2 linked regions of the Astyanax mexicanus genome follow. The protein of the gene in region 1 purifies or fractionates together with the protein of each later gene. This does not show direct contact. Links are inferred from orthologs where the notes say so. Each region holds a gene or a part of one and is shown on either strand. Other genes may lie near its edges.

Region 1 (7,419 bases):
AGCTCACCAAAACCTCAAACTATTCTTTATATTTGACAATATTTACTTACAGGTCCTTTGCTTGTACTTACAGGCCCTTACTTATTTTTATTCAACTGAACTGAGTTTTATATTATCTGTAGCCTCGCTCTGAATTCAGCTCCGCGCTGCGAAAGAGAGCGAGAGAGCGGCGCAGCGCATTTTGTCCGATTTATCTTGATTAATTATCAGTACATTTATTAGCTTTAGTAAGTTTAATAGCATTAATTTTACTACACTTCTCCGACCTTATTTATTAAAACGTTTATTTTAGAAGACAGAGGTTATTCTGCGCGCAATGACGCGCGCAATGCCATGCGCTGCGCTAAGCTGGCTTTGCATGGCTAATATTCTGAAGCACTGGACGAGATTTTAATTAATAAATTAATATATTTATAATTTTAATAAATTTGCCCTGGCGAAAAGGAACGAATTATAAAATATAGCTTTATATATTTCTGTGCATGTTTTAAGTTTTATATAATTGACGGGCAGCACCAGACGCTGACAATGTGCTTTATTTTTCAGATATAATAGCAAAGTGAAATAAAATAAATTTATGTTTGTCAAAGTTATTTTCTCTTTTAATTTATCTTTTCAAAAACTCCAGCTATTGACTGAGAATAAGCATCTGTTGAAATTATTAAACAGCAGAATGCCTGTGTCTGCTACATTAAGCTATAAGTCTGTGTACCGAACATAAATATAAATCCTTATAACTGACAGAAATAAATATGACTAATAATAATTTATAGTTACTGTGCAGATTTTTGGGAAAACAGGTCGTGACGTTAAGAAATCGGCCCGCAAAATAGCTCACACTGTGAGACAAGCGACCAAAATTTCTGGCATGTCAGAAATCCCTGGTCGCGTCCGACTGCTCATTCGCAGCTCGTATGGGCAATTAATCGGACATCGCTTCCCCTCACACACTGCACGACAAACGACGCACGATCAAGCTAAAATTCGGCCCGATCATGAAATTCAGTCGCATTCGACCAGATCGGGCTTAAAATCAGGCTAAAATCGCAGTGTCCGCCTGGCTTAAAACAGCACACAGGAGTATTTGACACTGCACCTTCTATATATCTATGTGCATCTGTGCATGTTACAGCTGCCAAACAAAAAAATGGCCTTTCTCTGTTGTCAACTGTTCCAAAACATTCCTAAATAAATCAAATTACATCAGCAGACGACACACAGGGATGTTCTTGGAGAACACACCCTCTGCGGACCCAAACAGATTGAGTTTTCTTAGAAGTGCTTAAGTACAGTTTCAAAGAATCTCAAAACACACGTCTATTTTTTTTTTTTCAGCATCTAATGAACACAGTTCTCTTTTAGATTTAGAAAGAGGGTCTAACAAGATACTGTGAAGCATCAGCATGGACATAAAAAAAGCTACTGCCAGGCTAAAGGGCAGAACTATACAGAGCACAAGAGGTGCACTGATGGAGCTTTTTGCTACCAAAACAACATGTGAGCCAACTGTCACATGTAAGAACCTTTGTTGCTCTGGTAGTCTAGAAACAACACAGCATAACATGGATTTAAGTATGCGGCCATTCTCCTTAGAAGAGATTTGGCTCTGAAATTAGACAAAACTCAGGTGCGAAAGACATAGACTTACGAGTTTGACAAAATTCCTAAAAGTGGTACTCTAATCTGAATTGATTTCATTGGTTTGGAGATAATCTTTGCATGTAAAACATAGCCAGTGACCCTTAATACAGTATTGTGCATGCGAGGTGGCAGGATGTACTGTCCAAATATTCTTCCATTTCCTTCTCTGGGCTTTGCAAGATCATGGGAAAAAAAAACAAAAAACTGAGATCACATTTCTTGTTATGACAGCGTGGACAATTTCTTCTCAAACACATCTACTACAATTTTTTTAAATTATTTGTAGTATTAGTTAGAGAGCTTAATTCAGAATTTTTTATTGTGTTTTTTTTATGGAGGCCAACTGCCCTGCACATTTTGGTCCTTTACCTGCCTTAATACACCCACATTACTCAATAACGGGCGTGTTAATCAGCTGTGACAAATTGAATAAGGTGTGTTACTAGCAGGGAAACACTATAAACTGCAGAGCAGTGTGCCCCCAGGACCGGGTTTCAGAAATGTGTGTGTTGGTGAAGAAAGGGAACTGAAGAAACCTCGTCTAGAGATTTCAAAAGTAAAAGAAACACAGAAGCTTCGTTTGAAATTTGTCCATGACGCACAAACACAGCAATATTTAATCAATCCAGCGGCTGCTAAACTGTTCATAATCCCGCTCCTCGTTACTGTTAGAGGAGTGAACTCTGCTCCTCGAGGATTAGCCTGTGTTTATGAGCTAGTTAAGGAGGGTGTAGCCGGGCGCTTAGCTTAGCGGCTAACAGCCGAAAACAGAGCCGGGGTGTTCAGCCCGCTGCTGCTGCTGGAGCTCCTGTCGGCCTGAGGCCTTTATTACAGTCGAAACCCAAACAGTCCAGCCGGAGTCATTAAAGGGAAATGTGTCATTTGATCCGGGTAACCCAATCGCTCAGGTAACCGGTAGACTGAGCGGAACAGACACACAGACCGGGCCCTGAACTGCTCCTCCTGTCAGCTGGCCGACCGGGGGAGCTAGTTAGCAGCCTGCTAGCTAACCTAACTAGCCTTGCTAACTAACTAACTCCGAGTTAAAGCCCGCGGAGCGTCCCAGTGTTTACCGCTGCTCAACAGCCCCTGACACCCCCGCCCGACCTCCACCAGTTAACCCCAAGCTCCTTACCCTCCGAGGGAAGCCGGCAGAAGGGGCGCAGCAGCTCGGGGAAGCTCAGGCTGTTCCTGCGGGTCACTCTCTCCGCCTCCTCGCTGCACAGGACGGCCACCATCGGCACGAACGAGTCCTGGATGAACTCCTGCACAGACTGGGCGCACTGGGCCATGGCGCCGGTCCAGCGGGCAGTCCGAGCGAGAACCGGGGGAGCAGACGAGCCGGGCGCGGGAGTGTCACCGAGAACAGAGGAGCCGCTACAGAGTTAAAAACAAGTCCCTCTACTGACAGCCCGCAGCAGCCATGATGGACTCTACAGTCCCCCCTGCTGACCGATTTAACTCCCGTCGAGCACCACGCCTGTCAGGTGATACCAGACAGGCAGCCTAAACACGTCCCTTCAAAATAAAAGTCTTAATGCGGTCTGTAGAGGAGGGTGAAAAGAGGTAAAACAGAAGAAAGCAAGGGTAATAAAAATAGATTAAATAACTGCGAAACCAGTTGTGAAATATTAATCCATATATTGTGGCGTAAAAGCTACCAAAACGCAGCAATTTAAGGCTTATTATTAATAAAAACACGTTTTTGCACACACGAAAGCTGAAACAGAAAGAACACTAGAGGACGCCCTTGAGCAAGTAATTGTTCAACAGGTTAAAGCATTTTGTAATAATGTACAACTTATAATATAATATATTATATTACTACTAAAATATGCACAGTTTAATCAGGTAAAATGTTACGATTTTTACTAATGGTAACTAATCTGGTTAATGAAAGATAGCAACATTTATATATAAACATAATTTTTACGTCATTAATGTATTAAAATAATGTTGATCTCTGACGTCAGATTTGATATATTTGTGCATATTGATTTTACGTTTATTTCAACATTGTTTCAACTGTCTGGTTTTAAATGTATTATTTGTATTAAAGTTTAGTAACAGTCTACAAAAATGTGAGAAAAGCTATATAATGTTATATATATTGTTTGTATTGTATTCTTTTATCCGGTACTGTAGTCTAGCTATGTAAAAACACATTAAAATAATAATTACTAACATTATTTTTTTTTATTTGTGGTAAGCACATTTTACATAAAAGCATTGTGGATGTAGAAGAGCTCAGCCAACCACTCAAAAACTTTAATTATTTAAAGTTAACATTTTATAAAATAATTGAATTACTAACTGATGCCTATGAGGCGATGTGAAACAAAAACTTGTTTTAAGATTGTTTTTCCATCCTTAATCTTAAAAGATGTAATGCAACCAGAAAATCAACCTTCTTTGCTCTGCTCTCAAAATAAAGGATCTCATGCAATAATCATTAGGTATGAAATATTTCTTCATACCTTTTATAAAGAGAGATTTTTTTTTTTTATGAACATCTTATAACAGTCCGTAAACGAAATGAACAATTAAATAGTTTGTAGCTTTGAAATAAATTGAATTCAAATTAATAATATATAAGTAATGAAAAAATTAAAATTAAAACAAGGGGTTAGCATACATTATATGAATTCAAATATGTTTTATACGTTGGGCATTATTTATGGTTATTTTTCGTTGCTTGTGTGGCAAATTGCTTTTCGTCGTTCTGCTTGTCTCGTTGGGCTTTCCGTAGTTATGTTTTTAGCGGCGGGTAGTAGAGAAGCCGGGCTGCTCAGCCCGCACACTGCGTGTTATTTATTTATTTCACTGGATTAATAATAAGTGTTCAGCTTTTTCTGATAAAATCAGCGCGTGTGGGGATTATAGAGCTCAAGTCCAAGTCACCCTGATTACAGTTAATGATCTTTATTGAGCGTTCGAGTGAGTAATCGTAACATTTACAACGTTAGTTAGGTAGCTAGGTCTTAAGTGCTGTTTACAGCGGTACTGAGCTAGGCTAGCTAACATGCTAGTTAGTTGGACAGGTGTTTATTTAACTAACTGTTTACTGAGACTTTCTTTACACAGTTCAGTTAACCTGGCTGACCAGCTCGCGAGAGGTGTAGCTAGTTAACTATATTGCTTTACATCAGTAGACATTTCTAGTTGTTTTAACTAGCTTCTTTGTCACAGACTAGCTAGCTCGTTGATTGGCTGTCACTTGGAGAGAGCTCGTTTTTACCTCCAAAAAATGTAACACTGTAGACAGCTTCTCTTACCTCATATTCTATTGCCTCGGTTTCCAGTCACTTACTAATGAATTGCTAACGTATAGTAAATACTATAAAACATTGGATACATTTGACAGATAGGTCTAGCATTCTCCAGTAGCTAAATCATAACAAAGATATATTTTCCACAACAGTTTAATGATTCTGTTTGGTCAAGCTTAGATAAACTAATGGTTCATCAAAAACTCAGTATTGCCCTTTATTACAAAGTGTATTTGGTCACATGTTTGGTGCTTGAACATTGCTTCTTGTTTTTGTACTCATGCTACAAAGCCAGTATAGATTTCCACTTCGTTTTAGCCACATGTAGCACATTCTTGTAGCTCCAGTGCAAAACTAGACAATCTCTGAAGAAATTATTTTGCTCAAACCTGGAGAAATTGCATACACTGGTTATTTATTTATGTTTGTTTGACGATTCATTCAGTAAATGATGTCCCTTTAATCTAAGCATTGTTTTTTTTCCATCCTCAGGTTTGGAAACGAAAGGGCTTCACAATGCCTGCTTTCCGACAAGTGGGGGAGAAGCAGCTGCCAAACCCAGTTCTGTACATGGCCTGGTCTCCTAAAAGGGACCTCATCGCTTTGGTCAACACAGCTGGTGAGGTGAGGAAAAAGTTTCTGTACTCTCCACAGTGAGGGTCAATAGTTTCTCCACAAAATAGAACTACATTACCTTTAAAAACAACTCGTGTATCAGCGATTAAACTTAAGTTTAAAATGGATTTGACCTCTGGTGAAACATGTCAACAAGTATGAACCTTTGTGGAATAACCCACCTCTGTTCCCCCTCTGAAATACAGAGCTTGTAGCCAATGCTCCAACAGGCTTACAGAGTTCTCAGTGCCTCATTTAAATGTAAAGCTTCTCAGATTTCTTCCAATAAAGTGTGGAGCTATTTTGAATTTGTTAATGGTGTAAAAATATCTTTGCATGGGCAACACTATCCTCCTATCACTAGCATTGTAAGCCTGTTGGGACCATCAAGTAGAAGCGTTGTATTTTGGAATGTTGGGGGTAAATAGAGGTTTGTTAATTGACACAAGTTCTTACTCATTTTTGGAGTGCATTGTAGTGTATGTTTTACTGCACACCAAGTCCATTTAACGTTGGATTTCACATTTAATTACAAGACACATAGGAAAAAAATCTATAACAAAACTACACTTTTTAAATTAAAATAATTAATTAAAATGACAGAACAGACTCATAGAATTAAGTTACAATTGCAATAGATACTTAACATATTATTAATTATAAATGTTATTAATGTTAATACCTTATTTATTGCTAAAAATTAAAGGGGAATTTTACGCTAAATGTTTTGTGGAAAAGACACAAGTCAACTATTTATATGTATATGAACTAAGTGTGTTTTGCTATGTAATATTTAACACCAGAGAAATATAGATTTCTCACAGTAGTGATTACAGGAACCAGCCATCCAACGAACTAAATTTTCCTAAAAGCTTACTCACAATAAGGTGTTAAAATGGTCATTAAAGAGCTTGTTTTTTCTGCATTTGACCTATGCTGCATTTAGATATATGTTTTACCAAATATTTTTGTACATTACACAGTACAGTATAAAACTCTGTAGTGCTTGTCAGATACTGTACAACACCATTTTAAATCAAACCACTATGAAGTTTTTTTCAACTATTGAACCATGGCAACCATTTATAAAATGGGAAAGAATAATCATTTCAAATATGTCGGTGAAAAAGGCTGGAGAACATGAACAAAGCCTCTAGGAAACATTTTTGGATTTTCTTTAGTTTAGTACACAGACATATATTGCTGAGCGTTTAATAAATACTGTCTGTATCTGAGCTCCAGTTTGTTAACGTTTGGGGTTTAAAATTAATTTCAGCTCCTGCTGCATCGCCTTGCCAACTTTCAGCGTGTGTGGAATTTACCCCCAAGTGAAAATACAGGAAAAGAGATCACATCTTTGGCCTGGAGGCCTGATGGCAAAAGTAAGCCAAAGCTTTCTATGATATTTGAGAATGCTTACTGCCAGAGAATTGACTTAACCCCAAAATAATGAACCTGTATGTTATTGTTGGCAGTCTTGGCATTTAGTCTGGGGGACACAAAGCAGGTGGTCCTGTGTGATGCTGAGAAGGCAGAGATCCTCCACCTGTTTACTGTAGACTACCCCGTGTCTTGCATGCACTGGATGGAAGTGCAGAGTGACAGCAGGTATTATTTTTTTAAATGACACAAAAGAAAGATTGGGATTGTTTTTATAAGTTTGTTTAATCGTTTTCTCTCTTTATTTAAAGTGTATCATCATCGTTCACTGACTCTGAAGACGAGTCCAACCGATTCCTGCCCAAGCTACCAATTTTACCCAAAAGGTTAGTTCAGCAAAGGTGTAATTCATTGCTGATATGTGTTAAAGATTGTGTACTAGAATAGAATGGACACAGGAAACTGACTGCTACAAATGTAAATAAATAAATAAAGGGTGTTCAAGATCATGCAT
Region 2 (7,934 bases), on another chromosome or scaffold:
CTTCTCCCGGAACTCGTGATCAAGTCTCTTCAGCTGGTCTGTGAGGTGTTTTTCCAGGGCAGACTGGAATCTCTTCATCAGTGGCTGCAAGAAAATATGAGATAATTAATAAATGAAATCAATTATCATATTATGTATACAAGAAAATGACACACAAGGTCGCATGTCATGTCATATATTATATATTTACATACATTGTACAATGTACATATGGCATCAAAAATGGCATATATTAACGTCTAATTTATATATATATATATATATATATATATATATATATATATATATATAATTTTATTTCTCATTTTCTCCCCAATTACCCAACCCACTCATTAGGACTTCCCCTATCACTAGTAATGCACCAAACAAACCTAGGGTCAAGCCAGCCACCACTTCTTTTCAAGCTGCTGCAGCATTGCCGAGCAGCCAGCACGCTCGGAGGAAAGCGCAGCAGCTCGGCTCCAATACATCAGCTCACAGATGCCTTGTGCTGCAGACATCACCGTAGGAGTGATGTGGGGAGAGAGCGCCATATACCCACCCAGAGGAAGCAGGGCCAATTTTGCTCCCGGCAGCTTGATAGCAAAGCTGCATGAACTGGGGTTCGAACCTGCGACCTCCCGCTCATAGTGGCAGCGCTTTAGACCGCTGGACCACTCGGCGCCCTGACATCTATTTTATTAATGTTATTAATATTTTCTTAAAATCAGACAGGCTTTCTGATATATGCACGGCAATAGGTGTTAGGTGATTTGCAGCAAAGTCAATCACGTCTGTGTTGGTGGAATTTGCGTTCAGTGGCTGTGTTCTGAGGGCCGTCATGAAGGAACTGTCAGAAGTAGCTGAGAGATCTAGTCAGTGGTTGTGGATGAGAAGGAGTGAGGTGAGTTGGGGAAGGCAATAGTGTGTTTTAGAGTGTAGACATAGGCTGTTTGGTACGTGTAATGTTCAAATAGTGGTATCAAGGTTGTGGGCAAAATCTTGTAATTTCCTATGTAGTGAGCTTGGAGGGGAAGTTGAGCCTTCTGGAGGTCTTGTGAGCTTAATTCAGCCAAATACTAATGAAGGGAGGTGCCTAACTGTGAACCCCTGTAAAGAGCTTGTGGTGTCGTGTATAATTAGTCCATTTGTGATAGTTTGAGTTATTGAGATCGAGATATTGTTCGAGATATTGCTGATCGAATCAAAAATGGTCAGAGCAACCTAGCTGTTAGGTGTTGGGTGCTGATGTTCTAAGTGTAAATATGTGAACAAAAAATAAATAAGTTAAATAAGTTATTTGTCAGCACATATCAGACACAATACTGTCTGATTTAAGCACAATATATAACATGGTTTTAACCTGTATGTTGGTGCCTTAACTACAAATAGTAGTGAAAAACAAAGAATTAAAGTTACCCACATGCTCAGGGTCCAATACGATAAGATCTTTATCGTCATCTTCTTCTTCTTCATCCTCACTCTGCATCATCATGCTTCTCTCGTCTCTCTCGCCACTTATGAGAGCCGTCTGGATTGGTAGAGTCATCATTATTGATTCCATTTGCATACAAGGTGAAAAGTACACTCAGAATGTACTGCAGACTGTTCATCAAATCTTAAGATAAATTAAATATCACAATGAGTTAAAGCTGAAGTCGCCCCAGAAAAAAAACAATAACTGAAATAAAAAACATTTAATTTGATCTCTTCATTTAAAAAATGATAACATGGATTCTGTTAACAATCTCTAGCATTATAAACTGTTTTTTTTTTTTCGATTGTTAGATAAATGCATCATAACAGGATATAAGCCTGAAAGAAAAAAATATTTGGCTTCATTACTGTGGAATTGGCCAATGTGAGGTGCAGAGATGACGGTGGAGGATCAGGCAGGGTACTGCTGTCCTGCGCTGGAAAGCACATCACACACACACACACACACACACACACACACACACACACACACACATACACAAACACCCTTCACGTTACTGTAAAGGAACAAGCCTCAAATCAACATGCTGATTAGTGAACATAGGCTTCTAGGCTATGTTAGTTATATAACACTCGTTCACACCAGTGTAAAATCTCAGCAGATAAACTATATTTTTGCTAAATTGGTGTTACTGTGACTTCTAAACAAACTATTGCTTTTGAAAGAGCTTTTACTAAATTTTGAGGAGTATGCTTTGGTCAATTACAGAAATTTCAGTTTCTTTTTTTTATCTTAACCCAAAAGAGCCCATGATGATGATGTATGTCACAGACCCTTTAAAAGAGATGGAAAATTTGTTACAGAACTCTGTCCTTCATAAAGTCACATACACTGAACAGCCTGAGAGCATCACAGGACAGTGTATGAATGTGTGTTTAGTGTGTTTGAGTCCTCTCAGTTAGTCCTTTAGATAAATGTGGCTCCTTTAAAGCTGTACTTTTTGCTTTTACTGGTCTGTTCCAACCAGTTTAACAATTCCAATGCCCTAAATAAATGTTTTACTCTCCATTTAACTAGTTCTGATACAATTGCTAGAGCACACTGTTAAAATACAAGTTATAAACGTATTTTAAGAGATATATTAAAAAATATAATTAGTCATATGTTACTCACTGAATTTATGTGAATTGGCTTTTATAGGTTAAAGTTTCTAATCAAAAAGTGTTCCATGCATCCATACAGTGGAAAATACATTTTCCTCCTGATGTTTGCCTGTGCTGTTCTTGACGTAGGCAGACTTATACAGACCTGAGTGAGTGTGTGTGAGGGGAGATGTCTCTGAACCGCTGGCTTCAGTGTGAGTTTGTGAAACTGGGCCTGAACCCTGCACAGAAAGCAACAACACATCAGAGCATTTAAACAACCAAACCACCATGTGCAGGCTACTGCTCCTATAATCTTACTGTAGACAATTCTAGTAAGGCTCTTATGGTCATGATTATTACCATCCTCTGCGATGTCCATTGTGGGTAATAATGACTTCTATAAAGTATTCTTGGTACACTCTGTATAGGTAATCTTACTCCCAAGATAACATCTTACACACTCCATATTCAGATTTGGGTTTTCACAACCCATCCATAGAAATAAGTACTTGAAATAGTAGCTCTTCCACGGCTGTAGACATGCCAGCAAACTCAAAAATAGAAATACTACACAGCATCAAAATTAAAATTTCTTGCGTATAAGTGTGCACACAGAAGTCTTCAGTTCAAAACAATTTAAAACAAAAACACAAGTCATGTAATAGTAGTGTATTGTTAAATGTTTAAATCCTTATTGCTAGTATAAAATAAATGTCTGCCTATTCGGGAGGATAGGAATGAAAACCTTGCTGTGACCATAAGCAATTTCTGACCTCTGCAGCCCCCTCTGCTTCCACTGGAAGACCCTCCGTCTCCCTCTCCTGCTTTCCTCCATCTTCCCCACCATTCTCCATCCTAAGAACAGATAAGAAAAAATGGCCTGTGTGGAGTTACAAAAAAAAAAACTGTCCAGAACAGGTAAATGAAAATGATCATTATAACAAACTAGAGATGTGTGAAACAAACTAGAGATGTGTGAAAAAGGACACATAAAATTTTACAATTTATTTTACAAATTAGCAATTGGTTTTAGTGGTACATTTAAACATGTAGACCTCCAGTCAAACAATTGTGATGTTTTGTAAGTTATATGTTATCTTCCCTGTTGGACCAGAACCTTCCATTTTCTCCAGCTTTATTTCTGCTTGTAGATGATTCTGCTATTAATACAAACATCCAGGAAAAAGGGTGTTAATGGCTGCTAGTAAAGCAGCCAACAAAAAAAACTTAAAATCTTAAAAGACATATACCTGAATGAATCACTGCCAGGCTGCATCGTGATGTAAGGGCAGCCACTATTCGACAGTGGTCCAACCCTATTGACTTTATTAAAAATGCCTTTATTCAATTACGAAGGTGTGTGCACTGCAAATGGTATTCAATTAAATTATTTATTTATTATCATTTATATATCTTGTGGCTAATTTATCACGCCTAGCAGAATAAAATGTGAGGCTATTTTAATAGCTTTCCAAGATTGTGGCTGCCTTCACTGAACTAATTTATACAATTCATAGCTGGTAAGTTATCTTACATACACACATACTTAGTACAATAGTCTAAAGTTTACTTCTTATTAATAAAGACTATAGGCTGAAAATATTGCAAGCCTTATTTATCACTGAGTTTTAATGAGGTTGTTAGTCTGCATTTTAGTCAGCAAAAAAAATTAATTTATAAAGCTAAATAAAAAGGCTCCGTTTTCTGTCTTTTTAATAAATAATTTTAAATTAGGATTGTTTCTGGTTGGTTCTACTGCTTGAATGTATGATAAACTATCTTCATAACCATTACTAATTTTTAATAGCCATAACAACTGTCACATGTTATTTTGTTTCCTGAAAATCTTAAAAAATGAGTTAGGGAGAATTTTAGGAAAGTGTCTCTGTGCAAAGATGTACAGTCTCGCTTATCCCATTTTGAAAATGCCATTAAAAACAACAGTGTAGTTAATCGAATAAATTCGAGTAACCTCCCACCAATATAACAAACTGCAAATCAAATAAGAAAATGGACAAGTTAAGTAGTTATAAAATAAACAGGACAGATAAAACTAAAGAGAGAAGAGAAGAGAAGAGAAGAGAAGAGAAGAGAAGAGAAGAGAAGAGAAGAGAAGAGAAGAGAAGAGAAGAGAAGAGAACCAAGTGGTTCTTTTTCTTACCTAAACTGAAACTCTTGTGGCCAGTAAACACTAAGATAAACTGAACCAGACTGCCTTCAAATGATTAATATGAATAATCATGGACATTTCCAGTTAAAATCGTTTTAATAAATATCTTAGCTTGGATAGATTAAGCTGGGTCTGCCTTCTTCCACCGCCTGCACTGTTTGACCCGTTGCTAGGAGACCGCACACTTCCGGTGTCGCCAAACTCGAGCTGCAGTGTCGTGCTTAAAATTAAGAGTCTGTTTAAAACAGTTCATACATCCAGTTTATTCTGTGGAGTTATGAAGTGACACCCACTGCTTGTTATATTTCACTGTCGTACAGATATGGGCTGGGCTGCACCAATTTTGCGTAAGTTTCTTCTTATGTTTGTGTGCAAAGTCTCTAACGTTACTAGTTATTAGTTTCAAACTATCATTTTACTGAATCTGGGTGCACCACTAATCTGTGTGGCATGTCCTAACTAGTAACAACTAACTCATGCGCAGAGTTACTGATTGACGCTTTTACATGACGAAAACAAATATATAACATGTTGGTAATCAACGTGTTGCCATGGAAACGCGGTTTAACAGCATGTGTTAGTGGATAATGTAGCTATAATGTTATGGGTAATATATTATAAGCGGTATTATTTCATACTTATATAGTGCATCTCAAAAGATTAGAATATCATTGAAAAGTTACTTTATTTCAGTAATTCTGTTCAAAATGCGAAACTCGTATATCATATAACGTTAGATGAATTATACGCAGTGATCTATTTTAAGTGTTTATTTCTTTTATTGTTGATGATTATGCCTAAAAGCCAATGAAACCCAATAATCAGTGTCTCAAACAATAGGTGCTTTTTGCAGTGTGGACAGTGTGCCAAATCCTGCTGAAATATAAAACCCGCATCTCTATAAAAGTTATCAGTAGAGAGAAACATAAGGAAAATACTGCACTGACTTTGGACTTGATATAAAACAGTGGACCAACTCCAGCAGATGTCATGGCTCTCCAAACCATCAATGATTGTGGAAACTTCACACTAGACCTCAAGCAATTTGGACTATGTTCCTCTCCATTCTTCCTCCAGACCCTGGATCCTAGATTTCCAAATGAGATGCAAAATTTACTGATGGTCAGTGATGGTTTGGAGAGCCTTCATCTGCCGGTGTTATATCAAATCCAAAGTCTACATATGTGCTACACTGGTGTAGTTACAAACATATGCCTGCTCAGATTTGTGTAAATACTTAGTATTTATACGTTCCTACGTATATACTAGTTGGTGTAGGACAACACGATTTGATTTAGTTTAGCCTTTTTTTACAGCTAGCCTATGTTTAACTTACAGCTGGTGCAGCCAGCCCCTGTGATTGGCTTAGTGCTTAAGCAGTGTTTTAAGTGTATTGGGATCTATCATTTAATTGGATAATTAACTAATTCATAATAAAAAAATTCTGCAATTCACTTTTCAAAAGTCATTCAGCTCATTGGCTGCAGTGCACCTGTAGTTGGTCTGCCAACCGCCATAATATTAGCCATAACTCCGAAAGAGCTCCCGGGCAGTAGGGGGCGAGATGGAGCTGTTAGTGTTGAACAGGAGCTTCATGGCGGCGCTGTAAATAAAATGGAAAGCGGGAGGGAAGCGGAGCTTTATCTGTATGGCTGGGTATTTTCTTTTCTTACTGTTACTTTTCTTAAAATATTAACCGTAGTTTTATGTTCTCACCACAGCATTTTTAGAATGTTTGGTCCCACTTTAAATGGTGCTGCTTCGTTAGTTAGCAAGCTAGCTACAGTATGTGTGTAGTTATAACCTGACCCCAGCTGCTGCATTTAGACATCGACAGGTTTCTGATTTGTATGTTTTGTCACTCACGTTTGATTGCAATATTCCTGAAATGTAAGTTGTTGTGTAGGTTAAACCATTTTGGTTAGCAAGTTAAGGTTTGTTCACCAGGTTTCAGGCTCCAGTGGTGATAAAACGCCTACTGAACCTACCATATATCGATTTGCTGGACAATGGGAGGTTTTTCAGATGGTGCCACAATACACTCAGGAAATGTTATGAGTTTATTTTAGTGCATAACAAACTCTTAACACTGCGTTCTGCAACCCGTGTAACATAACTCTATATAATATGTATTATATAACTAGCTAGCTTAGTTATCTAAACGGCGTCCATGCAGGTAGCTAAGTTACTTTCACACAGCTTTCACCTCTTCAGCTAGCTTTTTGTATTGACTGGACATATCCCCACAATTTCAGAAGTGAGAAATGAAGGTGAAGATAAAGCAGTGGAACGGCGTGGCATCCTGGCTGTGGGTGGCCAATGACGAGAACTGTGGCATCTGTAGAGCCCCGTTTAATGGCTGCTGTCCAGACTGTAAGTAATCTTTTTACACAACTCTAAATGTAGACACTTCAAGGTATTGAAATCCATTTCCGCCATTCGAGGGAAAAAATAAGGGTCCTCCACCAAGTCATAATTATAAGATGGTAAGGCATAATAATTATGATATACTTAGTCTGCGGTTATTATTTCATAATAATGACTTGGTATCTTATAATTATGCCTTACTATTTCAATAAAAATGCTTTGTATCTAAATTATTACTTAACATCTCATCATTATGACGAAATATATTGTAATTATGACTTAGTATCTCGTATTAATGACTTAGTATCTCCTCTCAACAATTATGGCTTAGTATCTTGTATTAATGACTTGGCATCTTATCTTAATAATTATGACATATCATCTCATAATAATGACTTAGTATTTCATCTCAATAATAATGACTTGCCATCTCAGAATTATGACTTAGTATCTCCTTATAATAATAATAATAATGGCTTAGCATCTCATAATAATTCATTAACAGCTCGTAATAATGACCTAGTATTTCATCTCAAAAATAATGACTTAGTATCTCATCATTATGACTCAGCTTTTTGTAATAATGACTTAGTATTTCTTGTAATTATAACTTAGTGGAGGACTGTTGCATAGTGGCGGAAATGGGCTTCCATATAAAGGAGAAATGTCTGTATAAAAGGTAGGAAATTATGGTATTGGTAAATGGTACAATTGTGCCAAATATTAACAAATTTAGTTTTCTATTGTATATTTGTGCATTGGTAAAACTAAGGCAAACTGTGTTTCTGGTTTCTAAGCAATGTATTGATCTGGGATGAATGGAGTGTTTCCCACA

What was found. The genes of interacting proteins can lie anywhere in the genome.
Region 2: the proteins of anapc4 (region 1) and anapc11 purify together in Homo sapiens (affinity purification with mass spectrometry; 8 studies listed by BioGRID and IntAct, with this or other methods). This does not show direct contact. The link is inferred for Astyanax mexicanus from reciprocal best matches to the Homo sapiens genes ANAPC4 and ANAPC11.

Annotation. Positions count from the first base shown.
Region 1 is NC_064408.1:65,443,039-65,450,457, reverse strand, and holds the start of anapc4 (anaphase-promoting complex subunit 4), read left to right. Parts: upstream 1-4,400; 5' UTR 4,401-4,578; intron 4,579-5,402; 5' UTR 5,403-5,426; coding exon 5,427-5,534; intron 5,535-6,801; coding exon 6,802-6,907; intron 6,908-7,000; coding exon 7,001-7,133; intron 7,134-7,216; coding exon 7,217-7,291; intron 7,292-7,419. Other genes in the region: trappc8 (trafficking protein particle complex subunit 8), read right to left, coding at 2,777-2,933. UniProt on the Homo sapiens protein: Component of the anaphase promoting complex/cyclosome (APC/C), a cell cycle-regulated E3 ubiquitin ligase that controls progression through mitosis and the G1 phase of the cell cycle.
Region 2 is NC_064412.1:28,029,805-28,037,738, forward strand, and holds the start of anapc11 (anaphase-promoting complex subunit 11), read left to right. Parts: upstream 1-4,929; 5' UTR 4,930-5,079; intron 5,080-6,269; exon of another isoform or gene 6,270-6,388; intron 6,389-6,987; 5' UTR 6,988-6,996; coding exon 6,997-7,105; intron 7,106-7,934. Other genes in the region: ccdc40 (coiled-coil domain-containing protein 40), read right to left, coding at 1-84, 1,403-1,510, 1,825-1,892, 2,726-2,801, 3,336-3,416. UniProt on the Homo sapiens protein: Together with the cullin protein ANAPC2, constitutes the catalytic component of the anaphase promoting complex/cyclosome (APC/C), a cell cycle-regulated E3 ubiquitin ligase that controls progression through mitosis and the G1 phase of the cell cycle.